2 linked regions of the Drosophila melanogaster genome follow. The protein of the gene in region 1 interacts with the protein of each later gene in a pairwise test. Each region holds a gene or a part of one and is shown in the gene's direction. Other genes may lie near its edges.

Region 1 (3,040 bases):
TAATACTCACTCCTATAAAGCCGAATAAAATGGATGGGTCGTCTCAGCTTGAGGACATTCAAAGTAAATAATTTATAATGGCAAGCTCGATGAAGCACGAAACATTTTAAATGGAAGAGCTGTCGAGCGAAATCTGGCGTGTCAAAGAAAGCTATGCATAAAAAGCACATTCAAATATAATAAAGGGTAAGCTTAGTGTTGAATACGCCTTCCAAATTTTCAGCTAAAAGGCAACATATTTCAGGCTAAGAAAGACCCATAAAAGCAGGCAACAAAGAGCCAGAAAAAAAAGTGGCTCCACTTAAAATTAAAATCACGCATACGCAACGTGCAACGCAAAGTGCCAAAGTCAGCTAAAAAAGAAAGGAAATCGCTTTCAATACGTTTGCCACACATAAATCAGAGTTAGAGGGCCGCCGATAAAGGAGCTTCTGACAAAACTCTTGACAAATAGATTCAACGCAAAAGGGCAATTAATAACCGACCGTGATATAAGGACCCTCTTCCAGGACCTCCTAAATTCGGTCACTGTTTAGCGGAGTGAAATGATTCATTTGTCAATTTAGCTGGGTCAGTTAGCCAGCCAAGTAGTTGTAAAAGGTTGGCTGCGTAGCAGATGTTGGATTCTTTGGATTTAACTGGCAGACCTTTTCAGACTTAAACGAAAATAAATGGATAGAGCTTGTTCCCTGTAATTATATTTACTTATATAGAAGGCCACATATCCCGAAAATAACTTCGTCTTGGCCTTGAAAATAATCGTTCGTAGAATTCGCTTTCAAAGCGTTCCGCCTTACATTAATATGGTTTCAATATCATGACCCCCTACTGCAACTCCTTAGCAGTTTCGCCTTCACATGTCAAACACTTCGAGGGTGGTGTCCTCATTTCTCGCATAGGCCACCACATACGCATTACGCATACGCAGCGTGAGCACTAAGCTTTAAGCCAACGGAAACGCTTTGTAATCCAGAAAATTGCAGCTGCAACCTTTGGTTAGTCGTATTGCCAAATGAGCCAGAGCTATTGTAATTAATCAGAAATCCGACTCAATTCGCTGAGTTATTTTTATCACAGAATGGTGGACGATAAAAATGCAAACTTTCCTCTCCATTTGCAAATTTATTTGTCCTTTGGGAAGAACAAGTCTCGCTGCAAATAGTATCTATTTATGGAAATCCTCGGGAGAGTAATGACTGGAAAATTATGCCACTGACGTCAAAAGGGAAAGACGAAACTTTTTGCCCACTCAAAAGGTCAAAGTCAAGACTCCAAATCAACTACTTGGCACTCATCAAATTCTAGTTTTCTGCGACTTGTTATTACAATTTGGCAAAAAAAAAAATAAAAAACTATCATCAACTTTGGCGTCATGCTAAACCAGAGCAACAAGTTGCTATAAATGGTCATCACTGGGTTTACTGCTCGAGTTCAATGTTTCCAGCCAAATTCAGATGAAAGAGCAAAGAAAAACGAATTGTTTTGAATTGAGTTCATAGCCATTGGATGGCATTGATTGTTGTTTTTTTGCTTGGGGTCACAGAGAAAATATGGAAATTGTGATACGATTTTATGGCGTTCTGATGAAGCTTGTCTTTATTTGGCCATTTCGATGATTTGTGAGCAAAGATAATAATCTGCGAATGGCTAACTCCATTAAATTGCTATAAATACTTAAAAGGATACCAATGATGCATTTATATATTTATGTAGATTTAAAGGAACTTTGTTTTTCAGATTATTTTTATAGCACAGCAGGCTTTGAATAGGATATCTGCCTGATTTCTACAGTATACCTTACTGTACTACATAAGACAATACAAAATACTTTCAAAATTAGTAAGATTTCTATTTGAACTCTGATCAAGTTCCGTACTTGCAGCTGAATTCTTTGATGGCTTCCATGGAGCTGACCCTGAAATCGGACTATTCCGCCGATTCTGTTATCGATGACATTATATCCAAGTCGCTGGCATCCCAGGCAGTTCCAAGGACACACAAGAGATCAACTCGCGTCTCCTTTCGATCCCTGGCCAAAGTTATAATGACTCTGATCGGAAACCTCAAGAAGGCATCATCATTTCATGAGGTGAAGGACATAGACTACTGGCGTAATCTGGCCGAGTCCCGTTTGGAGGTCAACAATCGCTATGGGAGGTTTATCGAAGCCCAGCAAAGGCGAATCTATACCCTGGAGACCAGGCTCCACAACCTGGTCAATTTGGCCCGCGAGACCCAGAAAATGCTGGCCGAGATTGGGGCCGAGAAGCGGGCCTGCGAGGAACTTGGCCATGGCGAGCACGCCGACTAGATTTAGCATAATTTAATACTTTCCGTCTTTCATAAACCAATGGTTTATACTAAATAGTTGGTATGTGAGTTAAATATATACAAATTGAAAATCAAGCGCAGTTTTGCTAGAATATTTGAGCAACTTGGGTTACTAAGTTGAGTGACAATTTTCCTACTTTCCTCTATTGCAGTCTCTCTGCAAATTTAATTTGCTTTTATAATCTCCTCCATAATCACTCAAGCCTAACCATTATTTGGTTTTATTCTGTTTTCTGTTTGTTTTGGGCGATAGTAGAGCGGCGATTTCTTTAATCTTCAGTTGGGTCTTCGTGTTTTTCCCACTTCTCCATGGTCTGGGTGTGTGCAGTCTTCCAGGTGAATGATTTTCACATCGAAAGAGCTCCTAACTGCATAATTTAGTAATTGGAACGTATCAAATTTAGTTTTCTCCCATAGAGCATGCAAGAAAATGCGAAGAGGCGATTGGACCAAACTTTATCATTTATTGCAATCTGTTTCGTGTTTTCCGTTTCTTTTGCTGCCTTACAAATCAGAGTTTATTTTTTTTTTTTGGGCGCCACTCCCAGAATCAAAAAAACACCAAAAAACAACAGAATTCAATTAAAAGTCTCTGCACGCCATTCGAAACCAAAAATATTGACATATGCCCCTTCCGTCGGCTGGCTGAAAAACAAGCCAACAATGTGACCATTGAACTCGAACCCAGATAGAAAATAGATATTGTTTA
Region 2 (4,953 bases), 1.5 Mb from region 1:
TGCGCCTCTTCTATCACAATATCGATGCACTGCGTCTCAATGAGCCCAAGGAGATGAGTGAGCTGCGTAGGGAGATGAAGGTGTGGCAGAGAGCCTTGAATGCAGTGGCCTCCTGTTCCAAGGATGCCCAGCTGGTGAGGGGAACGCTCCAGGCTAAGATTAAGCAACTGAAAAGGACCCTTAGAAGATTGCAAAAAGGTGTGGGCTCCACGGAGGTCTATACGAATACGCTGGACGAGCTCAAGCAGAAAGTAAGTGGATTTACTGAACTGGGATCTTTATAGCTGAGCAATCCATTTCCAGTACCCCATCAAAAACAAGACGCTGCTTTTGCAATCCGCTGGAGCCCTACTCTTCGTCATTGTTTGCTTCTTCATCCAATCCGTGCCGCACTGGAGGACATTACCCCTGGGTTGGGTGGCCCTGCTGGGTGTGATCCTGCTGCTGATCATCCTCAATCGCGATGACATGGAGCACTTGATGCACCGCATCGAGTGGACCACGCTGCTCTTCTTCGCCGCCATGTTCGTGATGATGGAATGCGTGGAGAGATTGGGAATCTTCGCCTGCATCAGTGAGCTCACCGAGCACGTTATCCTTTCGGTGGGAAAGAGTCATCGTCTGGCCATGGCCATCTTTATGATATTATGGATGTCGGCGCTGGCATCATCCATATTGGATAGTATTCCGGTGGCAGCCATAATGGTGAAGCTGGTGACCTCTCTGGTGGCCAAGCCATCGCTGGGACTGCCCCTCCAGCCACTGGTTTGGGCTCTGACCCTGGGCGCTTCGATGGGCGGAAATGGAACGCTCTATGGCGCATCAGCCAATGTCATTGCAGCCGGAATTGCCGAGCAACATGGCTATAAGTTGTCCTTCACCCGATATCTGAGAACAGTTTTTCCCATGATGCTGGGACAGATCACCCTGATGACTGTCTATCTACTGGTGGCGCATGTGGTCTTTGAATGGCATTGAGACTCCCTATTTAATACACATACTGAATAACATATTATTGTATCTAATGATGGAAAATGTTTTTCACTTCGAATCTAATCGTGTGTTTTTTTGTGTGAGTTTTACTGTAGTCTTTGTCCTTTTACATTCGCCTCTTGATGTGTTTCATGTGTTTTTGGCATATAAAATAAGAATATTTATATTTAAGCGTTCATTTGTGATTGGCAAATGTATAAAAATATACCATAAATATAAAAGTACACATGGTTTTTCGTTCGCCTTCGTGGAATTTGGCTGGACTGATGGAAATCACTTTTGGTAGTCCATCAAGGCGGTGTTTTTAATGTCGTGTGAAATGTTATAAATTTAGACTTTATTGTCTAAGGTCGAAGTGGGGAAATCGTGAAAATTCAACAGGCCATAAATACAAAACGAAGGAAAATTATAGATTTGATTTTCAAATTTCAATAAGAGGCAGTTCTACAAGTATTTAGATACATTTAAAATTCGAAGCGATGTCTGTATTTTAGAGATTTCAAAGCACAATATAAACATATAATAAGTTAAATTATAAATATCATAATTCTCGTGTTTTCTAGTTTATCCCATATGCACCTTGGTTTGGAAAACATAAACAAACGTAAATAATTCCTGAGACTGACCATTGCCAAGTTCAATGTTGACCAGAATATCCGCATATGAAAGTGCTTGCATGTACATATACATATATATTAAAAGCGAGTATATAGCATATAGTATATGGAAAGAAGACAACTGCTGGTCAATAAATGAGAATAAGACAATGTGGAAAAGCAGCGAGGGATTTCCTCGGGTGGTTGTTGCTATTTATTTGCTCTGCTACTGCTGCGCTTTCCACACTTTCCACAGCGCTCGTTCCATAGGTAAATTGTATTTTAAGTTCACAAACAAATGGCCACGAGGGATTGCGAATGGAGGAGGTGAAACGGAGGACCCGACCTGTCCGCCATGTGGAGAGGAGACTGCCAGCAGTTTTATGGCAGCCGCGAGAGGGAAAGTCGTGCCGACAACGACTGACTGAATTTTAATTAATTTGCGCCAAGGAATAAAGTGAAAATTGGAAATTGGCTTATTTGGCCCAGACTGGCCGCCCTGCAGGCCAAATAAAAATGTGATAAGCGTACGAAATTACGCCGAAATCGAGTTGGTTTTTTTTTTTGTAAGGTGAACCAAGATGACATCTCCCTATGGATACAGTAAGCCCACCTTTATGATAACGGACCACACTCGCGATCCGTATCATCTGCAGCCGGGTGATGACGACGACGATCGGGATGAGGATGAGGAGCGTCAGACGAAGCTGCAGGAGATCATCAGTTGGCTGCACTTGAATGCCAAGCATCGCAGCAAATGGTAAGTCGGCCGCATCAAGTATACGCCGCGGGTGGCCCATGCAAGTCAGCTTATATTGATATTAAGTATACGCCCGGTTGGCCACCGCCACTCGAAGTTTGAGTTGTTTATTTGCCCGGTTCCGTTTTCTCATTAGCCTGGCATTAAATTGTGCTGCAGGAGATGATGGACCCAAAACTTTTCCTTTTAATGTCCTGCTAAGCTTCTTAATAACGGTCCATTGGTTGCGACTTGTTTGTTTTCCGAGATGAAATCAACTCGAGGACATTTTGTGGATTTTAAGCCGCTGAGAGCCGCAACAGATGGTTTCCATTGAGATTGATTACAATTTATTTGTTTTTTAGTTGAAGCAGACACAGCAGTTTGTATATTTCATACTCCATATGCGTTGGAATTCCAGCAGAGTAATAAATGCGCTTTTCTTCGAAACTCTGATTGAAATGATACTCCTAATCCGAATTAATCATGTTTTTGTTTTGTTAGGGATTTTTTCCATTAGCTTGTGGTTATAACAAAATGCCAGGCACGAAGGTATTGTTGTATGCAATTTGTGTGAATAATTCGAAGAATAGTTGGCATATACCCATTTCCAATCCAAGCCAATCTTTTGTTCGAGCAATTCGCTTCTGGGAACTACCATTCGATATAGGTTGCTTATAATCGATAATGTAATACCTTGGACACGTGCAAAATAAACTGAAGTACGCAGTGCAATGTGGAGATTATAAATAAACAATGGGGAATAAATATTGACTTGCGTTGCATTATATTATTTTATTTATAGTTCTCTATTTCCGTTGGCAAATACGTGGTTCAGCAGCCTCCGCAGCTGTTTGTAGGTTTTTTTGTATTAAGTTAAGCATTCGAATTAAGTGTCGTATTCAAATTAGTGCACTCACTCCCACACAAAAATTATCGGTGTAGTGAAAACCTAGGGTAATGCGAATTACATACGCAGTTGGTCCTCAATTAAAAGTTCCGCCTTGTTAATTAACAATTAAAGGGAAAACTCGAGACGGTAAATCACTGAGTTCTCTGGTTTATAGCGCAGTTACACTTGGTTGCAATAGAGAAGGCTGCTCATAAATATACAGGGTGTGTGGAGTCGACTTACATACTTGGGAGCATTATAAAGCATTCATAAACAACGAATAATAAACAACAAAATATGTACAATAAGCAACAGAATTTCATACAGAAAATGATATATTTATATAAACTTAACGATTTTTCTTATAACTAGTTTCCGGGACACCCTGTTTCCATTTGACATATTCTTGACAATCAAACCTGAAGTGAGCTTAGCTTATTATATAAGCGCTCGTTATTTACATAATTATTGTTTATTTACTCACGCTGAGCATTTGTTGTATACATCTACGTCTTGACCATGTGTAGAATCCACTAAGTACTGTATGCATATTGGTTGCAATTAATTTGCATTTTTGCATTGGCTGATACCAAGTAATTACAGCTAACACATCGATAATTGCCGTTGGCCAATTGGCAAAGTTTATGGATACTAAAGAAAAGAGGGAAGGGTTAAATACAGTTGGGATTATGGGCTATAAGTTATTCGCACTGACAGCTAAACACTTTGATGTGGCTGCCCATTTTTACGCTGACTTTCTGACAAGCAAATGAAAAGTCATTCAGTAGTTTCAAGTCCACCCAGAACCACGTGATCCCTCCACGGAACATGCAACCCAAGTTTGGTGGTCCCACGATGACATACATATATGTATGTAGAGATATGTGTGGAAACTTGTCAATGGTTTGTTGGGTGGGTAGCTTGGTGGCATGAAGGAGGTGCGAATAACTATCCCTGTACATGAGGGTTTTCCGCTCACAATTTTCCAACAAACTGTAAATACACTTTTTCTGGTTGCCAAGGGATGAGCTTAGGGGCTGTAAAAGTTCCGGCTTGAATTTGGAATGTACTATGTGTCTCTATGGGGGCCAACCTTTGAGGCACAATTGAGTGGAAATGAATTATGTATTAGTTGTTATTATGAAATGGAATGTACTCAATAGCTTGGCTTATGTGGTATTACAGTTTTCAACCAACTATATTAATGTATTAAGAACGGAAATGTTAAGAGAAAGTAACTGCTGATAGCATTTAACCCATATAACTCCGAATCAACTGCACCCATGCCCCATATTATTCAGATGGATAAGCCGCAGAGACCTTGGGCGAAGATACAATTGTTATTGGAAGAAACACACCTATTGCGTCTCACTGTGGATATCATCAGCGTTATTATTACTATTATTGCCATCGTCTTATTGAATGTGGGTGAGGAAAATTGCGGAATAAAAGAGCATTAATATTCCAGCTTTAAAGTCGCTCAAATGTCAAACGGCTCGTGGCGAGAAATAATATATATATACACGAGTTCACTTTGAGTTCCTTGGAGTGTGTTTGCGTTTCATTGTCCGTGGCATTAGGGTTTTTGGGATTCGGATTGGGTCTCGCATTTGGATTGAGTTGGGGCACAGCAGAAGCTGTTTGCTGATAAACTCGCCTTTTGTCTGCCCATACAGAAGATACAAAAACGTACGAGAATGTGGCACACAAACCACACATGCAAATGGAACCGC

What was found.
Region 2: the proteins of CG8840 (region 1) and hoe1 interact in a two-hybrid assay, tested with the Drosophila melanogaster proteins (one large-scale study listed by BioGRID).

The regions. Positions count from the first base shown.
Region 1 is NT_033779.5:3,408,796-3,411,835, forward strand, and holds CG8840 (uncharacterized protein), read left to right. Parts: upstream 1-1,764; 5' UTR 1,765-1,894; coding exon 1,895-2,311; 3' UTR 2,312-2,404; downstream 2,405-3,040.
Region 2 is NT_033779.5:4,929,310-4,934,262, reverse strand, and holds the start of hoe1 (hoepel1), read left to right. Parts: upstream 1-1,878; 5' UTR 1,879-2,170; coding exon 2,171-2,349; intron 2,350-4,953. Other genes in the region: hoe2 (hoepel2), read left to right, coding at 1-251, 304-978.